Callithrix jacchus: one gene and its partner. The protein of the gene in region 2 purifies or fractionates together with the protein of the main gene of each other region. This does not show direct contact. Links are inferred from orthologs where the notes say so. Each region holds a gene or a part of one and is shown on either strand. Other genes may lie near its edges. The genes, in order: NCL and RRP1B.

What was found.
Region 1: the proteins of RRP1B (region 2) and NCL purify together in Homo sapiens (affinity purification with mass spectrometry; 3 studies listed by BioGRID and IntAct, with this or other methods). This does not show direct contact. The link is inferred for Callithrix jacchus from reciprocal best matches to the Homo sapiens genes RRP1B and NCL.

The regions. Positions count from the first base shown.
Region 1 is NC_133507.1:152,887,294-152,902,452, forward strand, and holds the end of NCL (nucleolin), read right to left. Parts: intron 14,930-15,159; coding exon 14,461-14,929; intron 13,769-14,460; coding exon 13,571-13,768; intron 13,466-13,570; coding exon 13,379-13,465; intron 13,342-13,378; exon of another isoform or gene 13,272-13,341; intron 13,197-13,271; coding exon 13,055-13,196; intron 12,033-13,054; coding exon 11,908-12,032; intron 10,977-11,907; coding exon 10,853-10,976; intron 10,356-10,852; coding exon 10,198-10,355; intron 9,684-10,197; coding exon 9,560-9,683; intron 9,330-9,559; coding exon 9,196-9,329; intron 9,086-9,195; exon of another isoform or gene 9,006-9,085; intron 8,698-9,005; coding exon 8,571-8,697; intron 8,500-8,570; exon of another isoform or gene 8,362-8,499; intron 8,210-8,361; coding exon 7,986-8,209; intron 7,837-7,985; coding exon 7,760-7,836; 3' UTR 7,337-7,759; downstream 1-7,336. UniProt on the Homo sapiens protein: Nucleolin is the major nucleolar protein of growing eukaryotic cells. It is found associated with intranucleolar chromatin and pre-ribosomal particles. It induces chromatin decondensation by binding to histone H1.
Region 2 is NC_133522.1:49,323,451-49,339,209, reverse strand, and holds the start of RRP1B (ribosomal RNA processing protein 1 homolog B), read right to left. Parts: upstream 7,561-15,759; 5' UTR 7,464-7,560; coding exon 7,334-7,463; intron 6,975-7,333; exon of another isoform or gene 6,970-6,974; coding exon of another isoform or gene 6,851-6,969; exon of another isoform or gene 6,801-6,850; intron 6,744-6,800; exon of another isoform or gene 6,353-6,743; intron 5,224-6,352; coding exon of another isoform or gene 5,180-5,223; exon of another isoform or gene 5,098-5,179; intron 1-5,097. Other genes in the region: HSF2BP (heat shock factor 2-binding protein), read left to right, coding at 9,591-9,617, 10,609-10,759. UniProt on the Homo sapiens protein: Positively regulates DNA damage-induced apoptosis by acting as a transcriptional coactivator of proapoptotic target genes of the transcriptional activator E2F1.

The DNA of each region.
Region 1 (15,159 bases), on a different chromosome or scaffold from region 2:
ACAGGGGCATCACGTCTGGCTAATTTTTAAAAAGTTTTTTGTAGAGACAGGGGTCTTGCTATGTTACCAAAGCTGGTCTCAAACTCCTATGCCCAAGCAGTCCTCCTGCTTCGTCCTCCTAAAGAGCTAGGATTACAGGCATGAGTCACCATGCCCAGCCTGCTAATATTTCATTTTATTTATTTATTTGTTTGTTTGTTTGTTTGTTTGAGATGGAGTCTGGCTCTGTCACCCAGGCTGGAGTGCAGTGGCACGATCTCAGCTCACTGCAGCCTCCGCCTCCCGGGTTCAAGCGATTTCCCTGCCTCAGCCTCCTAAGTAGCTGGGATTACAGGCGTGTGCCACCACGCCCAGCTAATTTTTGTATTTTTAGTAGAGATGGGGTTTCACCGTGTTGGTAAGGCTGGTCTCGAACTCCTGACCTCAGGTGATCCACCCACATCAGCCTCCCAAAGTGCTGGGATTATAGGCGTGAGCCACTGTGCCTGGCCCAAGCCTACTAATATGTATATTTTTAAATTTTATGTTTGTTTCATGAGGAATATTCGTCTTTTTTTTGTAATGTCCTTGTCATATTTTGGTATCAGCACTTACAAAACAAACTGAAAAAAGTTTCTCCTCTTCTACTTTCTGAAATATAGTTTGTATAAAATTGATATTATTTTCAGTAATGTGCTATATAGGTTGGTAGTCAAAAAAGTAAAAAATAAAGATTGGTATTATCTCTTTAAACATTGCATAGAATTTATTCATAAAGCCGTCAAGGCCTGGAGTTTTCTCTGTGGAAAGTTTTTAAATGAATTCTATTTCATCAGTACATGTAGGATTATTCATATTTTCCATTTCTTGTGTCCATTTTGGAAAGTTATGTTTTCAAAGAATTTGTTTATTTTACCTCAGTCGTTACATTTTCTGAAGTAAAACTATTCACAATATTCCTTCATTTTATTTAATATCTGGATGGGGTATGGTGGCTCACACAGGTAATACCAGTATTTCGGAAGGCTAAGGAAGGAGGATTACTTGAGGCTAGAAATTCAGGACCAGCCTGGGCAACATAACAAAACTTCATTTCTACAAAAAAAAAAATAATAATTTTTTTTTTTTTTTTTTTTTTGAGACAGTCTCATTCTGTCGCCAGGTGCCAGGCTGGAGTACAGTCGCATAAGATCGGCTCACTGCAACCTCCACCTCCTGGGTTCAAGCAATGCTCCTGCCTCAGCCTCTCAAGTAGCTGGACTATAGGCATGTGCCACCATGCCCAGCTAATTTTTGTATTTTTTAGTAGAGACAGGGTATCACCATGTTGGCCAGGATGATCTCAATCTCTTGACGTCGTGATCAGCCTGCCTCAGCCTGCCAAAGTGCTGGGATTACAGGCGTGAGCCACTGTGCCCAGCCTTTTTTTTCTTATTTTTGAGACAGAGTCTTACTCTGTTACCCAGGCTAGAATTCAGTGGTGCCATCTCACCTCACTGCAACCTCCACCTCCTGCGTTCAGGTAATTCTCCTGCCTCAGCCTCCCGAGTAGCTGGGATTACAGTCATGCGCCACCACACCCAGCTAATTTTGTATTTTCAGTAGAGACGGGGTTTCTCCATTTTAGCTAGGCTGATCTCGAACTCCTGACTTCAGGTGATCAGCCCACCTCAGCCTCCCAAAGTGCTGGGATTACAGGAGTGAGCCACCACGCCCAGCCAAAAAATTTTTTTAATTAGTCTGGCATGGTGGCAGGCACCTATGGTTTTAGGCACTTGAGAGGCTAAGGCAAGAGGATCAGTTGAGTCCTGAGCTCCAAGCTGCAGAGAGCTACAGTCGTGCCACTGCACTCCGGCCTGGGCAATGGGCAACAGAGCAAGACCCTGTCTCTTAAAAACAACAGCAACAAAACAAAAACAAAAACTGTGCAATCCATAATGTGGTGATATCCCTTCTTTCACTCCTGATAACGGCTATTTGTGTTCTCTCTTTTTTTCTTATCAGTTTTGCTAGGGGGCTATCAATTTTATTTATGTTTTCAGTGAACCAATTTTTGTCTTGATATTTCTACATCATTAATATTTATTATTTTTATTATTTCCTTTTCCTACTTCTTTCTTTTTTACAGGCTTAAACTGGAAACAGACAATGAACTTTAAAACTCTATCTTATTCCACTGGGTGTGGTGGCTCACACCTATAATCCCAACACTTTGGGAGGCTGAGGTGGGCAGATCATGAGGTCAGGAGTTAGAGACCAGTCTGGTCAACGTAGTGAAACCCTGTCTCAACTACAGATACAAAAAATTATCCGGGTGTGGTGGTGTGCGCCTGTAATCCCAGCTACTTGGGAGGCTGAGGCAGGAGAATCGCGTGAACCTGGGAGGTGGAGGTTGCAATGAGTCAAGATCGTACCATTGCACTCCAGCCTGGGCATCAGTTCGAGACTTTGTCTCAAAAAAAAAAAAAAAAAAAAAAAAAAACCATGTAATCCCGGCACTTTGGGAGGCTGAGGCGGGTGGATCACGAGGTCAATAGATCGAGACCATCCTGGTCAACATGGTGAAACCCCGTCTCTACTAAAAATACAAAAAATTAGCTGGGCATGGTGGCGCGTGCCTGTAATCCCAGCTACTCAGGAGGCTGAGGCAGGAGAATTGCCTGAACCCAGGAGGCGGAGGTTGCAGTGAGCTGAGATCCCGCCATTGCACTCCAGCCTGGGTAACAAGAGCGAAACTCTGTCTCCAAAAAAAAAAAAAAAAAAAAAAAATTATATATATATATATATATAAAAGTTAGCCAGGCATGGTGGCACATGCCTCTAGTCCCAGCTACTAGGGAGTCTGAGGCAGAAACATCACTTGAACTTGGGAGGCGGAGGTTGCAGTGAGCTGAGACTGCGCCACTGCACTCCAGCCTGGGCACGGTGAACAAAACCAAGTCCCTGCTGTCTGAGGGAACATGCATGTCTTTTCATGTTTCCCTGTACAGGGATCAGAGATAGGGTAACCCTCCTGGCCTCTTACTCCCAGGAGGTTGGGGACAGCCATGGGCTCCCATCTATGAATTGGATGGAATTGGGCTTTTGAATGGCTACAATCCTTGGGGATTTGTTATTTTCCTTCCTCTCCTCCTCAGTCACTCTTAGTGTGTCTAAGTTCTTTGCTGTTGTGTTGTTTTTGTAGAGACAGGTGTCCCGCTGTGTTGCTCAGGCTGGTGTCTAACTCCTGAGAGCTCATGCTGTCTTCCTGCCTCAGCCTCCCACAGTGCTGGGCCACTGCCTAAATTTTATTTTATTTATTTTTTTAAGACAGAGTCTTGCTCTGTTGCCCAGGCTGGAGTGCAGTGGCACAATCTTGTCTCACTGGAACCTCCGCCTCCTGGGTTCAAGTGATTTTCCTGCCTCAGCCTCCTGAGTAGCTGGGATTATATAGGTGCCTGCCACTACACCCAGCTAATTTTTTTTTTTTGAGATGGAGTCTTGCTCAGTTTCCCAGGCTGGAGTGCAGTGGCACGATCTCAGCTCACTGCAACCTCTGCCTCCCGGGTTCAAGCAATTCTCCTGCCTCAGCCTCCTGAGTAGCTGGGATTACAGACGCAGGCCACCGTGCCGGCTAATTTTTGTATTTTCAGTAGAGATGGGGTTTTATCATGTTGGCCAGGCTGGTCTCAAACTCCTGACCTCAAGTGATCCACCTGCCTCAGCCTCCCAAAGTGCTGGGATTACAGGTATGAGCCACCGTGCCTGGCCCTACTGCCTACATTCTTAAAGGTGGAGGAGGAGTTTTGGCAGGAAGGAGGGATCATTTGTCAGATGCTACAGGGAAGTAGGTGAACTGAGGGAAGACACTGGCTTTGGCATCTTAATGAACATGATGGGTGTAGGGGACAGAAGCCACACTTCAAGGAGGCTGGAGTGAGGTCATCCTGAAAGTTTGGCAATGAAGGGAAGAGGGGACAACTCTGCGAGGCAGCATGGTCAGGGGACAGTATTTTGGGATGAGAAAAGCTTTGGTATTAGGTTGAGGGGAGACAGACATACAAAGAGAACTGGGTAACTCTCAGAGAAAAAGCACAGGACATGCTTCCCAAACGTCTCAGCTGTAGGATCCTCTTAGAAACCTCTTTTGGCCGGGTGCGGTGGCTCACACCTGTAATCCCAGCACTTTGGGAGGCCAAGGTGGGCAGATCACCAGGTCAGGAGATCGAGACCATCCTAACATGGTGAAACCCTGTCTCTATTAAAAATACAAAAAAAAATTAGCTGGGCATGGTGGCACGTGCCTGTAATTGCACCTGCTTGGGAGGCTGAGGCCGGAGAATCATTTGAACCTGGGATGTGGAGGTTGTGGTGGTCAGAGATTGCCCCACTGCACTCCAGCCTGGGTGACAGAGCAAGACTCTTGTGTCAAAAAAGAAAAAGAAAAAGAAAAAAGAAACCCCTTTTGTAGGGGTTATGCAGCATTATTCAAGGTGGGAGACACCCTGGGCCTACCCACTAGTCCCAAATCTGAGGGTGAGTTTGGAGTTAGAGACGCACAGGCCTGCAGCCACGTCATTATCCGGGCTCCCTCCAGCAGCAGTTTCCAGATTCTTGCGGGCTTATGCTGCCACCTGCTGGAAGTATGATAAACGTGGCGACAACCATTTGCAGAAGAGAACAATCACTTTTCTAAAATGGCTGCAAACCCCATCAAATCAGAAACTAGAGACAGTCAGCAGGGAGGACTGTGACTTCAGTCCCTAATCGCAAGCCCTGGTGTCTTTCTGGCCCTGCAGGGTAACCACCTTCCATCCTCATCTTCATTTTTTTTTTTAGCTTAAGTTTCATTCTTGTTGCCCAGGCTGGAGTGCAATGGTACAATCTTGGCTCACCACAACCTTCGCCTCCTGGGTTCAAGCGATTCTCCTGCCTCAGCCTCCTGAATAGCTGGGATTACAGGCATGTAACACCACGCCCAGGTAATTTTTGTATTTTTAGTGGGGACGGAGTTTCGCCATGTTGGCCAGGCTGGTCTCGAACTCCTGACCTCAGGTGATCCACCCACCTTGGCCTCCCAAAGTGCTGGGATTACAGGCATCAGCCACTGTTCCCAGCCCTCATCTTCATTCTATAGGAAATTGGCACGTGATTAGAACAAGCAGTGAGAAATCATAGGACTGGACCATCTCTACTTTCCTTAAGGAATGGAAAAAAAAAAAAAAAGAATCAAGAGATAGGAACCTTAGTGTCCTGCCCTTGCCTTGCCTCACAGCAAGTTAGTAGAGTGGCTGAGAAAAAAGCCCCGCTGCTGAGCATAGTAACAGCAAGTGCCTCTTTACCAAACAGCAACTTGATAGAAATGCAAGCCCCACCTTGGGAGCCATGAACTCCTCCTTCAACTCAAGCCCTCCCTTGCACACAGCAAGGGAACCTACCAACATCTCACTCCCATAGGCTCTGCAAGTACCAAAAAAGCAATGGCTGTGCTGCACCAGAGCCACCAGCAATCCTGGCTCCTGTTCCTAGATAGCCAGCCTGTAGATTATTGCTTACTTTAACTGATGGGCCTCCCAAAAATTGCAAAAAGAAATCATCTATGAAATATTGTCACCTGACTGAAGGCTGCAGGGGACCAAGGAGAGTCCTGGAGGCATCATTTGATAGATTCCAGAGGACCTAGACACCAAGGTCACAAGGTTTTTCATTTTCTGTTACCCAGGTTGGAGTGCAGTGTTGTGATCACAGCTCACTGCAGCCTCCAACTCCTGGGCTCAAGCAATCCTCCCACCTCAGCTTCCTGAGGACTACAGGCTTATGCCATCATGGCCAGCTAATTTTTATTGTAGAGATGGGAGTCTCACTCTTACCTAGGCTGGTCTCAAACCCTCTCCCCACCCAGGCTTCCCAGGGATTACAGGTATGACCCACTGCACACAGCCTCACAAGATATTTTGACAGTTCCACTCTTGCCCAGGCTGGAGTGTAATGGCGAGATCTTGGCCTACCGCAACCTCCACCTCCTGGGTTTTGAGCTTCCTGCCTCAGCCTCCCAAAGTGCTGGGATTGCAGGTATGAGCCACTGTGCCTGATCCCTCACACATCTTTCTTGAAAGCAACTTGGGTCAGCCATTGGAGATAACTTCATACTTGTTCATACTACCTGCCTTGCTGCAATTTCAGAGCTAACAGACTGAATCCATGACAGCCAATGGGCTTCAAATAACTGAAAGCCTTCGATTCTTTGGCTAAAGGGCTTCCTTTTTTTCTTTACGTTTGCCTCATACGAGATCCTCCCACTGCTTTTTTCTCATAGCTACTACCCTTGCTGGCCACCTTCTTCTCTAGAGCATGAGGGTCTTGTAACTGGATTGTCACCACCCTCATCCCCTGGACACTGAACAGGGCTGACAAGCAGGTGATAAGCACAGGGATCCTTAAGATTTCAATACCCAACTCAACCAGAGTAAACCCAAAGCAGCTGTCGTCTTCAGGTTGCCTTCTAAACTTAACAGTTAACTGATTTCACTGGCCTGACCAGAACAGGCTTTTGGACTTGGCTACCTACGTTGATTTTAGGCACTGGGTTTCAGTTAAATTCATCACAATGTTGATAGTCCTTTGACTTAGACCTTGCTTATAAGCCAATTACTTATGACCAGAAAATAAGCAATATATGTAGTGCAGAATGAATGGCTTTTTTGGGCTTTACTGGATTGGCAGTTTCCTCCTCAGCCCCACAGTCCCAATGTCCTTTGGTCTATCCATCTAGCATGAGTTCTATTCCAGAAGTGCTTCTTTGTAGTCTCGCCGTTGCCCAGCTTGTGGGCATGCCCTGTAGTGATGCACGCTCAGCTCACTGTAACCTGTTTCCCGGGTTTGACCTGACTCTCCTGCTTCAGCCTCCTGAGTAGCAGTGACTACAAGCGCATACCACCACACGGAGCTAATTTTATATCTTTAGTAGAGACAGGGTTTTACTATGTTGGCCAGGCTGGTCTTAAACTCCTAACCTCAAGTCATCTGCCTGCCCTCACCTCCCCAAGTACTGGGATTGCAGGCGTGAGGCAGTGCCTGACCCTGATGCTCTTAACTACTTGTCCTAGGAAACCTGTGTTCCCATACTTTCCAGAGTCTTCTTCTGGACATAATCCTCAGGCTTGCTACAAGTGGGAGAAGCTGCAGCCACCTTCAAGCCAGCACCAGGGCTGTAGGAGTGGGTGCCCTCACCAGCTTTTCAGCCAAGTTGTGGGCTGGGACACTGGAAATGCACACACTGAGCATTTCCATTGGTAAGGATGAAGCAGGTGGCAGAGCTGGCTATGCCATGCTCTCCAGTGACAATCCAGGGGCAACACTCTTTAGGAAGTAACACGTCTGGCACCAGAGTTGACTTTTAATTTGTCCTAAAGCTGCTGAAGCAAAAACCATGATAAAACATTTTGCTTTCTTTTTACAACCCCCAGAACGCAAAAAAACAAAAAACAAAAAAACCACAACAACAAAACCCAAACTATTTGTAGGAAAAAATGGTTTTGTACATGGGATGAAACAATATAAATTCAAAACTTACAGATAAGGGTTAGCTCTATCACTCAACTCTTTAAAAAGTTTATACGAATATCCAGTCAAAACCAACAAGGTATTGCCCTTGAAATGTTATCTATACGATTTCCAAGGAGACCACAGGACTGTATACTGTCTTGGAATGTCCTCAGAAGGCTCTGTCATTGATCAGGTAACAGTAAAAACCCCAGAGTCCTTTCTTTCAAATGGAAAAGGGAAAGCATAGGAACAGAAGCTATTCAAACTTCGTCTTCTTTCCTTGTGGCTTGTGGTCACCTCCTCCTCCTCTGCCTCCTCGGAAGCCACCTCGCCCTACAGGGGGAAAGCAAGACGCTGTTAAAGTATGTATACAAAGCTCCTCCTCCCCAGTGATTAGGAATCCTGACAGGGTACAGGGTCTGAAGCATATATGCTGTGTGGCATCCAGTACATACTGAAGAAGTCATCCCTGTATACCTTACCTCCAAAGCCTCCCCGGCCTCTGCCACCAAATCCTCCTCGGCCTCCTCTGCCACCACCTCGGCCTCCAAAGCCACCTCTGCCTCCACCACGACCCCCAAAGCCACCTTCACCCTTAGGTTTGGCCCAGTCCAAGGTAACTTTATTTCCATCAATTTCACCATCTTCCATGGCCTCCTTGGCAGCTTTGGCATCCTCCTCACTGTTGAAGTCTACAAACCCAAACCTAGAACACCAAATGAAATTGCCCATTATAAAAAGCACCTGCTGCACATGTCCCAGGTAAGTTCAGGCAAGTAGTCTTGTTTGGTTGGGAAGAGAACCAGTGACAGAATAGTTCTCTATGGAAAACTAACTGGTATGACAGCTTGAACCCCAGAATGTCTCACAAAACAGCCAAATATACCTCTGTAAAGACAGAAGGTAAAATAATGACAGTTCTGTGAATTCTCTTCTTCTTCTCGTGCGAATCCATAAACTGCCATCGATAGACAGAAAGGAGCTCAATGAGAAGACACATTAGAGTCGGGGTCTCCACAACAAAAACCCCTTCAAGTGGAGGCAGCACCCATGCTTCTTGTCCTTACCCTTTGGAGGACCCAGTTTCCCGGTCAGTGACTATCCTTGCCCGAACAGAGCCGTCAAATGACTCCTTTAATGTCTCTTCAGTGGTATCCTCAGACAGGCCTTTGACAAACAGTGTTTTGGATGGCTCTGGGGAAGGAAAAAAATTGTGACTATGTGAAGTCACAGTTTAGACATAATAACAATGAAATCTGCACGATGCCTAGTATGACTATTGGCCAAGAATGCTTGTCTTAGTGGAAAAGCAGTTAAAAGCAACTAAGCCAACTAGTTTTAATTCAAATAAGGCTGTTGTGAGTTTCCATTTCTAAATTGCCCCTGCATAGTTGATCTCCTGCCCCAGAACTAATATGGAAAGTGTGAGAAGCAACCCAAGCAAGTGCTGCCCACTGGAGGGGCAGGAAATCACAGGCAAGCTTGCTGCTCTGAGTTGACAGCTGGATCAGAACTTGACTATCTAGAGGAATTTTCTTGAGATTTCATCAATTATTTCTCAGGTAATCAGTCATCATATCCAGTTATTCTTCACTCAGCAGCAACAGAAAACACAGAAGTTGTGCAAAAAATAAGCACTGAAAGCACTGGAGTGCCACCCCCAACCACAGCATCCTATCCAGGTTAACTTACGGCTTCTGGCATTAGGCGATCCCCTGGGTCCTTGCAACTCCAGCCTGATGGCTCTGCCCTCAATTTCCCTTTTATTACAGGAATTTAAAGCTTCTTTAGCATCTTCAAATGAAGCAAACTCTATAAATGCATACCTGAGGATGAACAGTTAATGCTTAGACTAAGCTGCCAGGCACATGGTCCTCTGTCACATGATGCTGCCAAGCCCCTTCCCTCAAGTCCATACCTAAATGATGCTATTTACACTCATTTACATAACTAAAATGATTTGGCTTTTCTGACAGGATCACACATGACCTTACCTTCCTTTAGACCTATAAGACACACACAGACCATAACTGATGACATAAAGGTATTATCTTACCCTTTAGATTTGCCATTTTGGTTCTGGGGTACTTTGATAAAAGTTGCTTTTTCAAATACTTCCTGAAGAGTTTCTTCTGTTGCACTGTAGGAGAGGTTGCTTAAAACCAGTGTTTTTGATTCACCTGCAGACAGAGATGCCACAATCTTAAAACTTTGACACACAGGTTCCCAACTTTGCTCACAGCAGTACTATCTTATTCCTAAGAATTTCAGTGCTTGAAAGAGTTATTACACAAATACTGATGTAAGTAAAATCCACTTCTGTTACTCAACATACTGAGTACCTAGTATATATGCTGCAATGTCCTGCAGGTTGTTCTTTATGTATAGGCTGACTACTGGTCTGTTTTCCTAGAACAATAATCTAAGTTCAAAACACACATGGTTGAAGTCATTTAAAGTACAAAACATACCTACAAAGGAAGCTTGATTTGCCTACTGTGTTCCAATGCAAAATGATTTCAGAGCTCTCATTCAGGACTAGAAATTACTACTCCAATTAAGAGTATGACTAGAAGTATAATGTCCTGATCTTCACTTACGTTTAAGTAACTTTGATTAAAAAGTACTTAGGAAGTACAAAGACAAAGGATTTCTCTCCAATTCTGCAACCCTGTAACAAGCCTAATTTCTTACCACTCCAAGTGCTATTCTTTCCACCTCTATAGTCTTGATTTTGACCTTTCTCTCCAGTATAATACAGGGAAATAGATCGCCCATCAATCTCTGTTCCCTGCTTTTCTTCAAAGGTTTTCTCTGCATCAGCTTCTGTCTTAAATTCAATATAAGCAATCCTGCAATGGAGGGAGAAGAACTAGTGATTTTAAAAACCATATTAACACAAATGCTTTTACCTCAGCAACACAGAACTTGCTTCAGATCTGAGTACAATAAATGCCCTTAGTTTTATGCCAATCAAAATGCCAAACTTCCCTTCTAATTTTCAATCAAAACTTGAGCTTCCGCTTTCCCACTAAAAAGTTTTACAAAAACTCAATTTTCTTCAGTCACTTCACCTCACTGAAAGCACTGCTACTACTTACAAAACTTATTTATTATAAGCTAGGCACATTTCTTGCTCCTTTATATGTATTAGCTTGTCTTTTAAAATCACCCTATGAGTACGTTATCCCCACAGTACAGATGGGTAATTGAGGCACAGGTTTACAGATTAAATGGCCCACGATTACACCTAAGAAAATCAAACCAACATTTCTTTTGTTAATGCAGGAAAGTGCGTTAATGTTGTAAAAACCTTAAAAACCCCAACATTTCAATAGACAGAACATACCCTTTACTTTTCCCATCCTTGCTGACTAATCTGATCTCCGCAGCATCTTCAAACACTTCTTTTAATTCATCCTGAGTGACTTTGTAAGGGAGATTTTTAGCCAAAAGTGTTCTCGCATCTCGTTCTAGATTAAAAAATAAAAATTAGCTGTATGGCCTAAAAAAACCCTGAACATTTAGCGACAATAAAAGTGGGGCAAAAACAGACATAGCTCTATTCAACAAATAATTTGAGATCCCATGATATACAAGGCTCTGTGCTCAATATGGAGATACCGCGGTGGCAACACACAAGTGGTCCCTCCATGTTGTCACAGCTGATGTCAAACTATCTGTTCAAACTAGAGTTCAACCTAGAGTAGATGTGCATGATTTTTAGAAACAAACAAAAAAATGAATATACCAATTTAAAACACTACAACTGTATCGAGAAAAAAAGCAAAGGATTCAAACCGTAATTAGGGACCTACTCTAGTTTCAGTGAAGACAGAACCCTTTAATTTAGGTGCATCTAATCTTATTCTCAATGAAAGTGCTCATTTGCCTAACTCAGGAATTTACACCGTAACACTAGCAAGCAGCACCGAGTACTCTTGTAAACACTAACTCATTAAATCCCGCATTAAGAAAGCAGGGTAAACATTTTTTTAAAAATAAAAGGAGCCGGGCGCGGTGGCTCACGCCTGTAATCCCAGCACTTTGGGAGGCCGAGGCGGGTGGATCACGAGGTCAATAGATCGAGACCATCCTGGTCAACATGGTGAAACCCCATCTCTACTAAAAATACAAAAAATTAGCTGGGCATGGTGGCGCGTGCCTGTAATCCCAGCTACTCAGGAGGCTGAGGCAGGAGAATTCCCTGAACCCAGGAGGCAGAGGTTGCAGTGAGCAGAGATCGCGCCACTGCACTCCAGCCTGGGTAACGGGAGCAAAATTCCGTCTCAAAAATAAATAAATAAAATAAAATTTAAAAAAATAAATAAACGGGTTCCAAAGCATTCTCCCTAGCAGTCTAGCGCCTGGGTTTGCTGCATCATCTCCTAAATCACTACATACCTTTCTTACTGTCTTTTCCTTTTGGTTTCTCTAGTTTAATTTCATTGCCAAAGACTTTCAAACCAGTAAGTTCCAAGGCTTTTTCCAGGTCTTCAGCAGATTCAAAATCCACATAACCAAATTTCCTTTGAGGTGAAGAAGAGGGCAAAATTCCAACAGGTGAAAACACAAATCGAAATCCACAATATGTATTCCAGACAAATGTGATGGTACAAACAAAGATCACATTAAAAAGCACCACTGGTATTAGCAAAATAAAGTCAAGGCTCTGCAAATTGTAGCTACAGAACAAGGTCTTAGTGTGAAGATATGACATGCACATTCACCTCTGAGGTCCTCATTACTAGCTAAATTGCTTCTAACAACTGACCACAGCAGCTGAAAAGAACACCTATAAGCACTAATACAGGAGAATCCTGTCTGGATAAAAGCATTCACTGTGACTAGTCAAGTCTAACAGTTTTAGGTACTTCCAAAAAAATAAACATCAAATTATTATTTTAAATTGAGACAGAGTTTTGCTCTGTTGTCCAGGCTGGAGTGCAGTGGCATGATCCTGGCTCACTGCAACCTCCATCTCCCAGGTTCAAGCAATGCTCCTAACACCAAATTATTAAAACTTACTGGCCGGGTGCTGTGGCTCAGGCTTGTAATCCCAGCAGTTTGGGAGGCTGAGGTGGGCAGATCACAAGGTCAGGAGATCGAGACCATCCTGGCTAACACGGTGAAACCTCGTCTCTACTAAAAATACAAAAAATTAGCTGGGCATGGTAGCACATGCCTGTAAGTCCCAGCTACTCGGGAGGCTGAGACAGGAGAATCTCACTTGAACCCAGGAGGCGGAGGTTGCAGTGAGCCAAGACTGCACCACTGCACTCCAGCCTGGGTGAGAATGAGACTCTGTCACAAAAAAAAAAAAAAAAAAAAAAAAAAAACAAACTAAAGATTATTCCATCCTATACTAAGAGTTATCCTATATTAAAAAATTGCGCTTTAGGGGCTCTATAATTTGATTTTAACTTAGTTCACTAATGCTAATCCTTGAAGATGTTTACATTATTCATGTTTAAAAGCACCAGGCTAAAGTGCTAATAGGGGAGGGAAAGGCGTTAACAGACCCATGTGTAAGATGCAGGGAAGCACTTACCTAGTCATACCAATTCTGACATCCACAACAGCAAGATCATTTTTAGCAAAAACATCACTGATACCAGTTTTTAATTCAGGAGCAGATTTGTTAAAGTTTAGGTTTCCAACAAAGAGATTGAAAGCCGTGGTCGGTTCTGTGCCTATTCAAAAAAAGCTGAACTCAGTCTATTTGTAAAGTGTGGTAAAAAGTTTCCAATGCAAAATTTCTATACACAGCACATCAGCACACTGCAAGGTAACATCAAGTTTCAGTATTAAGTCCCTTTGTCATTCATCATTTGTGCTGTTTATCTCCCCCACATCCCCCAATTCTGCAAGTTACCTTCCACCTTCTGTTTCTTGGCTTCAGGAGCTGCTTTCTGTTTGGTCATTTCCTTCTTTCGTTTTCCAGATGCTTCTTTGACAGGCTCTGGACAAGATGTCAAACAATGTATCACCCATCAATAACCACAAACACTTAAGTGTCTCCTTTAAACATCTCATGTCAATGTATGTCAGAATCTAATTTAATTACCTTCTTCTTCCTCTTCTTCCTCCTCGTCCTCATCATCTTCCTCCTCATCCTCATCATCATCTTCATCATCATCCTCGTCCTCATCATCCTCTTCATCTTCATCTTCAGCTACGTTCTTGGCTTTCACAGAAACAGGAACAGCTTTTGCAGCTTTCTTTCCTTTGGCTGGCGTAGTCTCCATAGCTTCTTCTTCAGAGTCTGAAAGAAAAGCCACCTAGTCAAAAAATTCCAGCAATCACCAGAAATAAATAGCGGTTTTAAAATCTAATGGACATAAAGTGTAGTCCTGTCACCATGGTTAGTTAATAGTCATGGCAAGAGTAGACCACTTAGGGTCAGGCACAGTGGCTCACACCTGTAATCCCAGCACTTTGGGAGGCCAAAGTGGGTGCATCACCTGAGGTCAAGGTTCGAGACCAGCCTGGCCAATATGGTCAAACCCCACCTCTACTAAATATACAAAAATTAGTCAGGTGTGGTGGCAGGCACCTGTAATCCCAGCTACTTGGGAGACTGAAGCAGGAGAATCGCTTGAACCCAGGAGACAGAGGTTGCAGTTAACCAAGATCATGCCATTGCACTCCAGCCATGGCAACAGAGCAAAAACTCAGTCTCAAAAAAATTTAAAAAAAAAAAAAAAAAAAAAATCACTTTGAACCAAAATCCTGTATTATGAAAAACAATCAGACTATGCTGTTGAAATTTTCTCAAGGCACAAAATCATTAATGGGTAATTAAGTCTGGCACACAACAGCCCAGAGAATTCCCACAAGGATTCCAATCTCACCTCCAGGATCTCCAGGTTGTTGTGGAAGGAATACATAGTATTGCTCCCAGAATCAAGATAACTTGCAAACAGAAGCCTAGTAACTACCAAGAGAACGCCTTACCATCTTCATCATCCTCATCCTCCTCATCATCATCTTCATCATCCTCATCGTCCTCATCCTCTGAGGCAGGGGCAGCAGCTGCTGCTTTCACCACTGCTGGTTCAAATTCATCATCATCCTCATCATCGTCATCATCCTCATCTTCCTCACTGTCATCCTCCTCTTCATCACTGTCTTCCTTCTTGGCATTCTTGCCATTCTTTGCCCCCTTGGCTGGGATGGCAGCACCCTTCTTACCAGGAGTTGCTACCAATGCTTTGCCTGGTGTGGCTCCCTTCTTGCCAGGTGTGGCGACTGCTTTGGCCAGTGTAACTGTCTTCTTGGCAGGTGTTGCTGCTGCCTTTTTGCCTGGAGTGACAGCTGCTTTCTTGGCCGGTGGGGCAACTGCAACCTTTTTTGTTGGGGAAACTACCACTTTCTTTGCTGGGGTTGCAGCAGCCTTCTTGCCTTTCTTTTGAGGTATGACAACCTTGAGAATAAATGAAAACCAAACCAGTAAGAAGACAACCATGGTCCCAACTAGTGTTAGATTCTGTCAATGCCTATGGTTCAAGACCACAAGCCCTAGACACACGTTACCATGTTAAACTCCATATTATCAGGTGAATATCTAGGAATAAGGAACCCTTCTGAACACTTAAAATACCTCTGAATTCTCATACCTCATACTTTCCCAAATCCCAACTTTCTCACCTGAAA
Region 2 (15,759 bases):
GAAATTAGCAGAGCATGGTGGCATGTGCCTGTAGTCCCAAGTACTCAGTGGCTGAGGTGGGAGGATGGCTTGAGCTCAGAATTTGAGGCTGCAGGGAGCTCTAATCATGCTACTGCACTCCAACCTGGGCAACAGGGCAACTCTGTCTCTCTAACGAACAAAGAAACAAAACTGAAAATGGATGTGTGAGACCATCAACACCCAAACCTCCAAACCCACTGACCAATCACTAACACACACAGGCAATCATTCCATCGGTGCCAGAGGTGATGGCAACAGGAAGAACGAGACACCCACCTTGTGAAATATTCTTGCAAAAACAAAAGCAAAAAAAACCCCCCAAAAACAAAAAACCCCACTGTGTCAAATCTTAACTATTAATACAGTTGGGGGGAAATACAGGAAACAGAGGAACATGTTAAGTGAGACAACAGGAAGTAGACAATAAAACCCCAAACATGTGAAACTACAAGAAATGTGACCTGTGTCCTCCAACAAAGAAACCGCACGGAGAAAAAGACGGGTAAGAACTAACAGAATTTAAGTCTTAGCAGACACACTAGCCGAATGCAATGGGTGGGCCTCATTTGGACTGGCCGTAAAACGCATTTATGAGATGATGAGAAAAACGAAACAGGCCGGATGTTTCTGCTATCAAGGATTTTCTAAGGGCAATGATGGCACCGTGCCTATGTTAAACAAGGATCCTCATGATACAGACACACACACTGCGGACACCTGGAAATGTAATGAGACGTCTGGGACTTGGTGCACACGAAGCTACGGGGAAGGAGGAAGCGGGCAGATGAGACAAACTGGCCAGGTCCTGATGAAAGCAGAGGCAGAGAGTGAGGGTGCTTTTTATATATTTGAAATATTCCTTAATAACAAGAAGGAAAAAAAGGAGCGTCTGAGATTACCAAAGTGACGCCTGGCTGTCTCCTTTTTATTTAAAAAGCTCTGCCTAGTGGGATGTGTGGGGTCCCGGGGGCAGATCCCTCATGAATGTCTTGGTGCCATTCTCCTGGGATGTTATATAACCAAAGTGAGTGCCCTGGTTCCCGTGGGATCGGACTGCTAAAGAGCCCGGCACCTCCTCTATTACTCCCTCTCTTGCTATGTGACATGACAACTGTCCTCCCCCTCCGGCCAAGATTGGATGCTTCCTGAGGTCCTCACCGGAAGCAAATGCTGGAGTCATGTTCATACAGCCTGCAGAGCCCCGAGCCAAATAAACCTCTTAGCATCAGGTATTCCTTTATAGCAATGCAACAGACTAAGACAATGATGTCACTGGAAGGTAGCAGCGTTAATCAACTTAAAAACAAAAAGAGGATTTAAAGGACACAGGTTACTGTGTGGGGTCAGGCGCAGGGCAGTCCTTGTCCCTGTCCTTGGTGGGCAGCTACATGGTGATTCCCCTCCAAGGCTCCCCACCTTCAAGCAGGGCACAGAGGGACACTGTGGTCTGGGTGGGGCTTTCCCCACATGGAGGGGAGGCAGCTTTAGCCAATTCAACAGAATTCCCTCGGCCACAGGACAGGTTCAAGAAGAGCCTAGCGACCCTCTGCAGATACAGATCCTCTTGCTCAGGCCTGAGGAGTCTCTAGCTCTCTCCTACTGCACCTGAAGAGAACACAGTGTTTGTACCTGCTCCCAGCCACCTGGTAATGTAAGTGGAGCCTGTCTCAGAATGGAGAACGATCTTGGGGCAGCAGGGTTGCAGTTGAGAAAAACAAGATTCTGGCACCAGCAGTTGAGCTCCTCCACAAAGCTGTGCTTCACTTTCCCCTTAAAACTAGGGTGGCGTGGATGTTCTGTCGAGTTGCAGCTGAAAGAGTCCTAACTGATAAAAACACGCATTAACCCCAAAGAACCTTACCACCAAAGGGCTATCATCACAAGCCTGGCTTGCTCCCTGCCCTCGAATCCCAGGCTCCTACCCAGAGGGACTGACACCGCCTGCCTGATGTGCATCTTTCCAGATCTTTCCTGGGCGTTTATTTACATCACAGTTACAGTTGTGTGTGTGACCTAAATGGCATACTATTCTGTACTCTGGTCTTCCTCACTTAAAAACAGTGTATTTCTCTCCAGATGGTCTCGGAAGTGTACCACTGGGTCAAGCCAACGGAAAGTGATGATGCGATCTGCTGGGGATCTACTGTGGACAGCCCGCACCCAGGACACACAGAGGCACAATATTATGTCCTACAGAGGTGTTCAAAATGGAAAACAGTAGATTCTGACAGAGCGACAACAGATCCTGGACAGGAGGTAGCAAAGTGAGCTGCGTGAGTAACACGGTTTGGCTGTGTCCCCGCTCAGATCTCACCTTGAATTGTAATAATCCCCACAAAACTGGGAGGGACCGGTGGGAGCCATCTGAATCATGGGGCAGGTTTTTCTCATGCTGTCCTACGGACAGTGAATGGGTCTCATGAGATCTAACAGGTGTTTTTTTGAGATGGAGTCTCCCTCTGTTACCCAGGCTGGAGTGTAGTGGTGCAATCTCGGCTCACTGCAACCTCCACCTCCTGGGTTCAAGTGATTCTCCTGCCTCAGCCTCCTGAGCAGCTGGGACTACAGGCTCGTACCACCATGCTCAGCTAATTTTTATATTTTTAGTAGAGATGAGGTTTCACCATCTTGGCCAGGATGGTCTAGACCTCTTGACCTCGTGATCCACCCGCCTCAACCTCCTAAAGTGCTGGGATTACAGGTGTGCGCCACTGCACCCAGCCAAGATCTAACAGTTTTATAAAGGCGAGTTCTCCTGCACATGCCCTCTTGCTTGCTACCATGCAAGAGATGCCTCTGCTTTATTTCTGTCTTGCCCTCTGCCATGACTGTGAGGCCTCCCCAGCCACATGGAACTGTGAGTCCATTAAACCTCTTCCCTTTATAAATTACCCAGTTTCGGGTATGTCTTTATTAGCAGCATGAGAACAGACTAACACAATGAGAAAAGATATTCTGATTTTCTCTTTTCCAGGAGGCAACAGAACAGCACTGAAACAAACCTTGGCGTAGGTCCCAGCTTCCTACTGACAAGGGCCCAGTGGCCGAAAACTGTCCATTAACTTTTGAGCCTCAGTTCTATCGCCTATACTGTAAAAGACTGATGGTTAGGGTCAGACCCAAGGTGTGGAAACACTAAGAATAAAGCACTATTCAGTTGGTGGCCTATTACAGTAATAATGGTCGCACTCTCTTCCCAGAGTCTAGTTACAGTCTGTCCCCTATTAAAACATCTATTTTCCATATATGTCTGTGTGTGTGTTCACCTAGGAATTTAACAAGCCAACGGTTTTTGAAGTATTCAAAGTAAAAGAGAGAAATGTTTATTAGCGAATAACCTTCTGAGCTCTGAAAGGCGAAGCACATTGTCCGTAGCAGTTTGCTCTCACCGCCCTTCTGTCTTCTTGAGGCTCAATCTCTTAAACTTAATACAACTGTGTTTTTACAACAACACAATATAGGTTTAGTTATTTCAAAACGAATGAGGTAGGCCGGGTACAGTGGCTCACGCCTGTAATCCCAGCACTTTGGGAGGCTGAGGTGGGTGGATCACCTTAGGTCAAGAGTTCAAGACCAGCCTGGCCAACATACAGTGAAACCCAGTCTCTAGTTAAAAAAATACAAAAATTAGCTGAGCGTGGTGGTGCATGCCTATAGTCCCAGCAACTTGGGAAGCCGAGGCAGCAGAATCGCTTGAACCTGGGAGGTGGAGGTTGCAGTGAGCCGAGATAGCACCACTGCACTCCAGCCCAGGTGACAGAGTTAGATCCATCTGTCAAAAAAATACAACACTCACACACACACACACAAACACACAAAACAAACGAGGTGAACGTTGAAGTGAGATATGCAGATATGTGAAACATCAGTAAGTTCTGAAATGAGCAAATCCAAGAGCTACCTCAGCATGCAATGAGCCCAGGAGCCATTTTAGATGCAGTTAAGGGTCACACTTGAACACACCCCAGTGCCAAAACATCCACATCTCCTATGTATCATAACGCTTGGGTAGAGAGAACCCTCACCCCATTGTTATTAAAAACGTATTTCCTGCATCATCTACACTGACTCCAAGATGTACTGTTACATGTCGCCAAAAAGAAAGCAGTGATGCAGATGAAACTTACCAGGTTGACTTCAGAATGCCTCGCATTTCAGTACCTATGTTTAGAGCTGCAGAACAGGTAAGATAGGCAGGGACTGTCTGTTTTCCTCACCGCCATATTCCCAGTGCCAAGAATAGCGTACATAGTAGTAGACAGTTGGCACTCTATAAATGTTTGCTAAATATATGAGTGAATGAATGAATGAATTGGGACAGATGAGCTTTACGAATGAAAGGCATGCAGAGTGATCATTTTACGACTGTCAGTACACAACTTGAACGGTTAGAGCATGAGCGCAACATTCTGTTACTTAAAGCAATACAAACATTTCCAATTTATTTTTAAAATTACAAAGCTACCCATTTATGTTGCTGCAGAACTGCTCATGTTTCAGGAAGAGTGAAATCTCAGATTTCCTTTATAATGCCTAAGACAAGATGCAAAAAAAGTTTCAGCCTGTCAACGGGAGTCAAATATCAGGTCCAGTTATTTCCAAATTTGTGTTTTGACTGTGGTGGGGCAGCGCTATGGCGGAGACCTTGTTTTCCTGTCCGTTATCACTGCCCATGATGCTCACAGTGCAGAGTTATTTTTTGAAGGCCCACTGTCCTCCATGCAATGTGGTGGTGGACAAGATGTACGAGTAACCCTGGGTGTGACAGGCACTAAGCAGACAGGACTCTGGGGCACTGGTGTAACTGGTCTTCGGCCCCTGCATAACCCCAGCATTTGCAAGTCCTGGGCTGGCTCACCAAAGGGTTTGAGCAAAAGGCTCTCTGCCTAGGCTGTCTTAGCCCCATACGTATTGCTTTCGGTCTTCTGCTCTTGCACAGGTCAGGACGTTTTATGGCTACATGTACTCCCACTTCTGGCTAAGAAAACAGATGGAAACTTACAGTGTCTCTGGAGAAGAATGACACATTAACAGATAAGTAAGAAGCAATGTAGCTAAGCACTACAACAAAGACACAGTAGATGTTTTAGAGCCCTGGAGGAGTAGGGCGAGGAAGGCTCTTTGGAGGAAGTGATGCCGAACTGAAGGTGAGGAAGACATGGGATCCTTTGCAGAGCGAACAGGAGAAGCAACGCCAGAGAGGTGAGAAATTGTGTGTTGTACGCCAGGAACCACGAACGCTTCTGCTGACGGAACACGAAGCAGTCACATGGGGCTTAGGAGGAAAAGCACCTGAGGACAGATCATGACTTGCAGATACTGGATTTCAAAAATATTGGTGATGTGGGATCAGATTTGTTTTAGGAAGATGACCCTGGGCTGGTCTGTGGAGGAGATTCGGGGGGGGGGGGGACACAAATGAAGTTAAGGCAACCAGTTAGGGAACATGTAGGTGCAGAAGTCCGGGGAGATGCAAAGGGCCTAAGGTCGGAGAATGTATTTCAACAGGAGGTGAAGGAGGTAGGGCTGAGGGGCACTGGATGTGGGTCAGGGCAAGAGGATGAGGAAGACAGAGGAGTCCAGGACAATCCTGTGTGTCTGGCTGGAGTCTGAGTGGCTGGTAGAAACTAGCAGCTAAAAGAAGAGAAAACAGGTGGCAGAGGAGCAGCAGCAAAGAGGCTTTGGGGGGAAGAAAACGGGCCGTTTTTTGGCATTCTGAGTGTGAGGTGCAAGGTAGAGACGTCAGGCTAGCAAGGCTCACTGGAGCTGCAAGCAGGAAAGGGCTGGGTCAACAACTTAGCTTTAGAAACCACCAGCATACATGGGGTACCCCGAACTGTGCCAGCAAACAAAATCTCGTAGGGAGACCCTAATGGAATCAGTCAGGAATTCTGGTTTTCTTTCCTTTTCCACCAGAGTTCCCAGGAAAGCGTATTTTCTTTTTTGGGGTACTCGGGTGATTTCTCTTCAAAATAAAACAAACTGAGAATATCAGTGGTGGGGAGATACTATCTGCTCTTCTAAGCAGATTCTAATGTATTAATACCAGCAGCAGCTAAATCACACTTAATCTTGCTGCAGCGTAAAACCTCTATCACACATTGTGGTTCATATCATATGGGCTCACTCAAGAGTTTACAAAAAATATTTTTGGATCAGGTAAGTGAAATCCTTCAACAGCAGTGCTGTGTGATCTGGCCACTGCCTACATCTCCAGCTTCATCTCATAACACTTTCCCCCTCCCCAGCTTACTGGTCTTTCAACCACTCCTAGGGGAGGGCATTCACTCCTTCCTGTCACGGCATAGGTGGTTTCCGCCCATCTCTCTTCAGATCCCAGCTGAACATCACCCAGTGAGGCCTTCTCAGAACAGCCTCTCACGAAGAGCAACCTCCTTCACTTTTTTTTCTATTACCTGTTTTTCTTTCTTTCTTCTCTCTTCTTCTTCTTTTTGTTTTTAGAAGACAAATTCTTGCTCTATCGTCCAGGCTGCAGAGCAATGGTGCAATCTCGGCTCACTGCAACCTTGCCCTCTCGGGTTTAAGCAAGTCTACCTCCCCAGCCTCCCGAGAAGCTGGGGCTACAGGCCCGCGCCACTGCGCCTGGCTAATTTTTGTATTTTTGGTAGAGACAGGGTTTCACCAAGTTGGCCAAGCTGGTCTCGAACCCCTGACCTCAGGTGATCCGCCCGCCTTGGCCTCCCAAAGTGCTGGGATTACAGGTATGATCCGCCATGCCCGGCGTACTACCTGGCTTTCATTCCCTTCACTACACTTACACGAGGTCTACTTTATTTGCCTGATTGTCTCCTTGCTTTATCACCAACAGATCCTCCAGAGAAGGGATTTTGTCTTCTCGCCTGCAGCCCCCGCACGTAAAGGTGCTGGTCAAAGAAAGGCGGGAATCACCGGCGGGACAGCAGGGCAGCGCAGTGATGCCAGATGCCGGTAAGCTGGGGAGGGGGAGAGTGTTATGAGATGAAGCTGGAGATGTAGGCAGTGGCCAGATCACACAGCACTGCCGTTGAGCTGCATCAGGGCAGCCCAGTGATGCGAGATGCGGGTCAGGGAATCCGCCCCATGTGGGTCTTTTCTCAGCTTCCCCGCTCACCGTGACTTTCGCAAGTAACAGAACCCCCTCAACCTGTTTCCTCAACTGTAAAAAGGCACTAGACAGCAAGAAGCAGTTCTGGCAGCGCGGAAACCGGAGGACACTCTCGGTGTCACGACAACGCATGGAAGCCGCGTTCCGCGCCGCCGCCCCTGCCCCGGGCCCGCCATGTGGCGCGGCTGACCGCCGCCGTGCGCCCACCTGTCTCCCTCTGCGTCTTCACGCTGATGTACTGGCGCAGCTTCTTCACCGCCCGGTCCCGGATGCCCTTCTCGCTGGACGCCAGCCGCTGGGCAAACTGGATCTCGGCCGGCTGCATGGCGGGGGCCATCGCGCCCGCTGGGGCATCCCCGGCCGCGCAACCCACAGTGCCGCTGCCGCCAACCGTGCACCGCTGAGCCGTCGCCGTCCGCACGAGCCGCGACTGCGCAGTAGGCGGCGGTGACGCGCGGGCTGATGGCGTCACAAAGGCGCCGGCGCTCGTGGTGCGTTCTGGGAGTGAGCGCGGCCCTGGCCCTGGCGGCCGTCGTGGCGGTCTGTCCCGCGTGTGCTTGGCTCCGTCGCTGCCTTTCGATTGCCAGAATTGAGGCTGTAGACGGCGAAGTTAGCCAGGGTTAGGACTTGGCCGGGAGGAGACGGACGGATGTTGGCAAACGGTCTAGGAATTTTTATTTGTTTGACACAAGGTCTTGCTATGTCGCCCATGCTGGAGTGCAGTGGCGCGATCTCGGCTCACTGCAGCCTCGACCTCCCAGACTCAAGCGATCCTCCCACGTCGACCGCCGGAGTAGCTGAGACTACAGGCGCGCGCCATCACGCCCCGCTAATTATTATCATCTTTTATAGAGACGGGGTCTCGTTGTGTTGCCCAGGCTGCTCTCAAACTCCTAGCCTCAAGCGATCCTCCCGCCTCGGCCTCTCTGAGCGCTGGGAGTACAGGCTGCAGCCACCGCGCCTGGCCACGGTCCAGGATCTTTTTTTTTTCTTTTTGAGACGGAGTTTGGCTCTTGTTACCCAGGCTGGAGTGCAATGGCGCGATCTCGGCTCACCGCAACCTCCGCCTCCTGGGTTCAGGCAATTCTCCTGCCTCAGCCTCCTGAGCAGCTGGGATTACAGGCATGCCCAGCTAATTTTTTGTATTTTTGGTAGAGACGGGGTTTCACCATGTTGACCAGGATGGTCTCGCTCTCTTGAGCTCGTGATCCACCCGCCTCGGCCTCCCAAAGTGCTGGGATTACAGGCGTGAGCCACCGCGCCCGGCCCGGTCCAGGATCTTTAGTCCCCTTTAGCACACCCCGTTGGGCCGGCAGCTCTCCTACGAAGTTTTTAATTGTGGAGCCTCCGGGTCCCCCCGGGTGGAGTCGAGAGTGGAAGGAAAGGCCGGCACTGGGGCCTGCTGAGCGGGTGGAGAGCGTTCCTTTCGCCAGCGCCAGCGGAGCCTCGGGCAGCTCGGCACGCCCCTACCCCGGAGCCCTGGTGCCAGTGCAGGGGCGCCCGCGCCGGCGTCCCGAGGCCTGGAGAGCACGCGCGCTTCCCGGGGGAGCTGGGCAGGGCGGGCTGCTTGGGAGGGAAGAAATCAGCTTTGGGTTCATGTATAACCCGAGGCCATCCTATAGCTTGCGGACTCGGCAGGCGTTAATGGCCTAGATGACTCCAAACGTAGTGTGTGGGGGGTTATGTACGTTAACCCCATTCAGTTATCTGGGCGACCTCCCGAGATGCCTGTGGCCAAATTCAACCCTTAATATGAAAGCGCCTGAATCCCAGCGAGGGAAGGCGGGCCGCGGAGGCGAGTTTCCAGCCAAGATTGCCCGTTTCAACGCAGTCCCCCTTAGGGCAGCACTCCCCGCCAAGCAGAAAGGACCCCTCCGATTTTTTTTCTTTTTTTTTTTTTTTTTTTGAGACGGAGTTTCGCTCTTGTTACCCAGGCTGGAGTGCAATGGCGCGATCTCGGCTCACCGCAACCTCTGCCTCCTGGGTTCAAGCCATTCTCCTGCCTCAGCCTCCCGAGTAGCTGGGATTACAGGCACGTGCCACCGTGCCCAGCTAATTTTTGTATTTTTAGTAGAGACGGGGTTTCACCGTGTTGACCTGGATGGTCTCGATCTCTTGACCTCGTGATCCACCCGCCTCGGCCTCCCAAAGTGCTGGGATTACAGGCGTGAGCCGCCGCGCCCGGCCCCGATTTCTTTCACATGACGCTTACAGCAGGGGCTGACTTTCCTTCTGCTTCGTAGATAACAAGTTTAAAATCCGGGCTCAGCCGGAAGAGCCAAAGCGCGTCCTCATCACGGCCGCTCCTCGCCCCCCAGGCGGAGAATGCCGCTCAGGTTCTGCGAGGTTTGAGCCTCGTGGCTCTCCGTTCCCGACCCCCGTGGACGCGTTCCCGCGCTTTCTGGCGTGAGGGGTCAGAGGTCGCCGCCTTCACGCAAGGAACGTAGCGCAGGGGGCGGCGGCCATGGACGAAGCGAGCGGCGCTCAGGAGGTCAGTTGGGTCGGGGAGGAGGCCCCGGCCACTGGCACCCGCGGAGCCTCGCCCGCTGCGCTCGCGGTCGGCCCGCTGTCCCGTGCTTGGGGAGGCCTGGAGACCGGGCCCCGGACAGCGTGGGCTGCGGCGGAACGGGGTGGAGGCCTGGGCGCGAGGCGACTTCGCCTGCAAAGCCACGCGGGGGCCGGGTCTGTTTGGCCGCGCGCGGTGGGGCCTGAGTGGCGCCAGCGCGGGCGTGGGAGCGTGGGATGGATGGTCCCTGCGCTCGCTGCCCCGCGGAAGCCCGGTTTCCCTGCGGAGGGCCGCTCCGGGACTTGGCGTCAGGCTGAGAGAGTCTGCCCCGCACAGAATGGTTTACATTTCCCTTTTCAGACGGAGTCTCGCTCTGTCGCCAGGCTGGAGGGCAGTGTCGCGACCTCGGCTCCCGCAGCCTCCGCCTCCCGGGTTCAAGCGACTCTCCTGCCTCAGCCTCCCCGGTAGCTGGACTACAGCGCGCCACCACACCGCATAATTTTTGTATTTTTAGTGGAGAAGGGGGTTTTACCACGTTTGCCAGGATGGTCTCGATCTCCTGACTTCGTGATCCGCCCGCCTCGGCCTCCCGAAGTGCTGGGATTACAGGCGTGGGCCGCCGCGCCCGGCCTCTGGCCATGTTTCCGTATTTGTGTAGACACGGTCTCTGTTGCTCAGGCTGCTCCAACCCCTGGCCTCCCAAAGTCCTGGGGTTTCAAGTGTGAGCCACCGTGCCTGGCCTGTGTGCACTTACTGTTTTTCACATCTGCCCCCTTTCTGAAGGCTGAAGCCTCAGCTTTGAAAACGTTTATATATACATAGAAATGGAGCAGAGCATGCAGTAGGTGAAAAGGATTTGAAGCAGTTATGAACACAAGAGGCATGAAAGAAAAGGAAACAAGTTGACTTGGGCTGGTTTTTTTTTTTTTTTTTGTCATATGAAGAGAAATGTAATAAGATCTGCTTGTTCTTTTAGCACATGGGAACCAAAGAGGAATTTGTTAAAGTCAGAAAGAAGGACCTGGAACGGCTGACAACTGAAGTGATGCAAATACGGGATTTCTTACCCAGAATACTAAATGGGGAGGTGCTGGAAAGCTTCCAGAAATTGAAGATTGTAGAAAAAAGTGAGTCTGCATTTTTAGCAGTCATTGGTGGTGACTAATTTGTTCTGGTAGATTTACCTTAGGGAAGTAAGTAATTGTAAACACATTTGAAGGCGCTCGTATAGTCCTTGTGATGACATTTGGGAGAGTCCGATGACCTAAGAAAAGGGAGGTTTCCTCAACATAGTAACTTGGGCATGTAAGTTGGTGGTAGAGGAAACGTTGCCAGTTTTCTGAGCATCTATTATCAGCTTCTTTCTCTCTCTCTTCATTGGCAGAAGAAGTTTACACTCTGTAAAGCTCTGCTCAGGAAATTAAGTACTTACCGTGTAAGTTAAGGATCGTGCCATATGGAAACCTTGCATGGAGTTAACTTGTCAGTAGAGATAGCTGGAAGTGTGTTCACTTACCTTTAGGTGGATGGGTGAGTCACTTTCTAGAATTGGTTGAAGTTTAGGCTTTCTGGTGTCCGTTCAGCCTTTTGAGATTTGAGCCGCGCCGTTATAGGAGACTACGGAAGTTCCTGGAGATTGACTCAGCCCTTGGCTGACTGAGACTGAATCATGTCAAATCAGCCAAATCACAGCGTGACATTTGGTGGTTAGCCCTCACTGTGTGCCCCCTAGAAAAGGTGCATCCGGAGGGCCCAGGCAGGCCTAGCACTCGTCCATACAAGGAGGTAGCTCACCCCAAGAACATGAGTTTCTGTCTTGTGCAAATGTATCTGGTGAGTAGGCCAGCCATATCCAGTTGGAAGGGATAGTGCCTCGCGCTGTTTACATTGTCTTTGGTTTCCTCAGATCCATTCTCTGCCTTGTGGTGTGCTCTGGGAGGTGAATCCCTGCAGTCAGGGTTCCCCCAGTTACCTTGCTGGGTGCCAGTGGGGGTTACCAATGGAAGGTATTGCTGGGTGGAGAGGTTGGGTGGGTGTTTCTTCCTGCTCCCTCCCTGCTTTGCCGTGGTGGGGTGGCAGTAGCTGCATCCCTCCACAACGGAGACTCCTGTCTAGAGCCCTCTTCCACTGTCCTAGCTCTTGCTGGACTCCAGTAATGCTGTTTTCTCCCACCTGCTTCTTTGGCTCTAGGGCTGTTGCTAGTCCCTGGGTGCCTCACTGTCCCCTGGTGGTTCCTTTATCTCTGTTCTCCCCTCTGTAAGTGGTCCTCTCAGAGAAGTCTCAACATCTGTGTTGATTTGTCTTTCCTACTGGGACCCTGCCAGATATGTGCCATGTCATTGGCTGCCAAAATGTCAGGTCATTGACTTCGTAATTTCTGATTTCATGCCCATCCATCGACTTTTTGAGATGAGTCATTCCTTGTGCATTTATCTTCAGGAAAGGAAGGTAAATAGACATACACCAGTAGCAGTGTATGGCAGCCTGCTGGTTGGTTATATTCTCACTGTAAATAAATAAACTGGCATTCTGAAAAATACATCGGGGCCTCGTGAGTTAATTAACATGAGTGTCTTTAGTGATCATTCTCCCTGCCAAAACCAAACCCAGTGAGGGCCACAAACAAATCTGTGGTCACTTGACCACAGTCAGACTTGGGGAGATCTGATCTTATAGTCCCGGCCTCCCCAATGCTATAGAGTCACCTTTTTCCATGATCTCGGGCGATTCCTGCTTGTTCTCCTTTGCTGATGTATCCTCTGCTTAGCGGCCTTCAGATAGTGCCTGAGGCTCAGCCCTAGGCCCCTTCTCGCCTCGCCCCGTGGCTTCTCCCTAGGCAGCCTCATGCACACTCACAGCTTCAGCTACCGTCTTGATGCCAGCGGCTGGCTGCTGGATTTACTCTCTAGCCCAGCAGTCTCCTCAAGCTCAAGGCCGTGTGTCTGACGCCTGCCTGGCATTTCTTCCTGCTTGTTTCACCATTATTTCAAATTCTGAATGCTTGCTCTACCCTAATTACTAGTCTGAGGTCACCAGGAACAGACCCGCAGTCTGACAGAGTGAGGTTTATGGCTCTTTGCAGTGGGGAAGACCACACTAGAGCACCAGAGAAACTAGGGCATTTCAACACAGAAGAAGATAGAGCTGTTACTGGACTTGGAGACGAGTGGAATTAGGTGAGGCGTAAATGAAGCAAAACAGAGCTGTGTCTAGAGGGACCAGTATCAAGTCTGACTGTGAAGTGGACCCAGGTCCTGTTCCCTTGAAAACTACAAAGTTCAAATAGATGTGGCACATTGTTCTAGCAATCCTTACTTGAAGCTCTGCAGTGGCTGGAAATAGTCTCTTCTGTGTCACAGTGACTTAGATCCTGCAGGCAAGAGTGGAATCTTCTTCCTGGTGTAATTTCAGACAACAAAGTTTCTGACAGTCCGGAATTTCAGAGTAAGGCTTCTCAGTTTATAAAAGTTAGCAGTCACTTGAAGGAGAGATCGTTGTGACACTTTACAGTTGCACTGTCTTTGGGAGACACATTTTCTGTTCACTTGGCACCCGACTTCATCTGTGTGTGTTACTCCAACCTGACAAAAGTCAGGACAGTCTTTTGCTTTCTCGGTGCAAGCTTATTTTTACTTCCTCTTGTCATATCTGCCTCATGCTATCCATCCCCTACCCCTGTCTTACACCGGCCTGCCTCAGTCTCCCCAGAGCATCGCCTCCCAGACTAGAGACCCGGGAGGCTTCCTTGTCATCTGTCTCTCTTCCTCACTGCTCCCCGCAAAACCTGCCTGGTGGTGCCTCTGATGAGTGTGACTTGCTGGGTGCGTCCTGAATCATCAGCCTGCGTCCTTCTCCAATGCTGTGTTCTGCCTCTTCCTGGCAGCCTCTTCACTGCCACTCTCCAGTCCCTTGGACACAGTAGTAGCCTGAGTAGTTCCTGGCAGTTCAATCTGATGATGCCATTCACCTGCGTAAGTCTCAGAAGCTTCTCTGCTTTTAGGATAAAGGACAAAAAGCTAAAAACCTCACCCAAACTCACCCTCATCCAAAACCCTATGTGGCTTAAAAGGCTTTGTATTATTGGGCACAGCCTCAGCCCAGAGTCACTGCCCAATCTGATGACCTAGATGTGACCCATCTTCCTTTTAGATGTCATCATAGTACCCTGTGCTTCTTCAGACAACATGGTTTTATTTCCATTTTACTGTATCAGTTGGTGGGAGTGCGGGGCCCTTGCTGCCTGTCATTCTCTCCCTGGCTGCATGTTTCATCTTGAGGGACTACCCTGCTGTCTCTGCATGTCCTTCCTTCTTTTTCTCTTTTTTCAGACCAAGTCTTGCTCTGTCACCTGGGCTGGAGTGCAGTGGCATGATCTCGATTCACTGCAACCTCTGCCTCCTGTGTTCAAGCAGTTCTCCTGCCTCAGCCTCCAGAGTAGCTGGGATTACAGGCATGTGCCACCACACCTGGCTAATTTTTTTATTTTTAGTGGAGACTAGGTTTCACCATGTTGGCCAGGCCAGTCTCAAACCCCTGACTTCAGGTGATCCTCCCGCCTGGGCCTCCGAAAGGGCCGGGATTATAGGCATGAGCCACCGTGCCTGGCCTGCACGCCCTTTCTAGTTTGCTGTGTTATCTCATGAAACTCACACATGCTCCAGGAAACGTGGTATTAAGAGAAAGGAAGGATCAGAGTGGACTGGGCTGGTTTCAGGAGGGTTACTGTGGCCTCGAAAGGCATCTTTTATCTAATTTTGGCTCTTGAGTTCTTCAATTTGGGCAACATGAAGAAAAATAAACATTCTTCTTTTTATGAGGCCTAGATCTGATAGCCCTCCCCAAGCTCTCCTAGGAGCCTGTCTCCCTGATCATGTTGGACATGACTAAGAATGGAGTTGTACAGACGAAACCCACAATTGTGCAGTATGTCAGCTGGCAGCAAGAGCCATTTCTCATACTGATGCTTCTCTCCCATTATCCCTGTGGTCTGGTATCCATCCGTTTGCTTCTTCTGGAGGTTAATATGTGCTTTCCATCTTTTTTTTGAAACGGAGTCTTGCTGTGCCACCCCGGCTGGATTAGAGTGGTGTGATCTTGGCTCACTGCAGCCTTCGCCTCCTGGGTTCAAGCGATTCTTCTGCCTCAGCCTCCCAAGTAGCTGGGACTCCTGGCACCCACCACTATGCCTGGCTAATTTTTGTATTTTTAGGAGAGATGGGGTTTCACCACATTGGCCAGGCTGGTCTTGAACTCCTGACCTTGTGATCCGCCTGCCTCATCCTCCTAAAGTGCTGGGATTACAGCTGCGAGTCACTGTGTGCTTCCAATCTTAAGCAGTGACAGAAGGCAACCTGAAGGTAGAAACGAATGGAGGCACGGAAGGAATAGGCCTGATTTGAGAAGCTTGTTTTCAGAGTCTGGGTTTAGTTCTGTTTAGATGGGTTCAGGCATAAAGTAACTTGTAAGCCAGCTAGAGGACTTGAGCTCATAGATCAAGTAGTGAATGGGGCTTCATTCCAGTTGGAGCACAGCGTCTCCCTTTGGGAGGACTGGGCAAGGTAAGCGGTGCTTTGGAAGGATACGGACGAAGGTGTTGCCTGTGAGTCTTAGGGAGTTGATGAGCACTGGGGAGAGGCATGATCCATAAGGGGAAGGGGAGATGTTGTAGGCTAGGGTGGTGGCATGTGTGACAGTCACACATGGGACTGAACAGGACTGATTGCAGGTTCATTGGCTAGTGTCTGATGGCTGCGTGGGATAAGGACTGGGGTACAGCAGAACTGGGGACAGTAAATGAGCAGTTCATAGAAGACAGTCTAGATTGTTTTTAATTTGAGGTGAGTCAGCTGTGAATTACCACACGGAAATAACCATGAAAATGATGACGAAAGTGATTTTTTCAGGGTCATGTTTTTCTGTGTGAATGGAGGGTGGCTCTGAGGGATTGGCAGAAGACGACTTAGAGCATTCGTCAAGGAACGTCTTGGGCTTCATTAGTGTGTGGGACTGCGGCTGTATGAATGGAATGGAAGGGACGTTTGATTTTTCTGGTGGTGAAGTCTGGTGGTGAAGTGTCGTGATTGACAATGGGAAGTGAGACGATAGAGATTCGGGATCATTATGTACT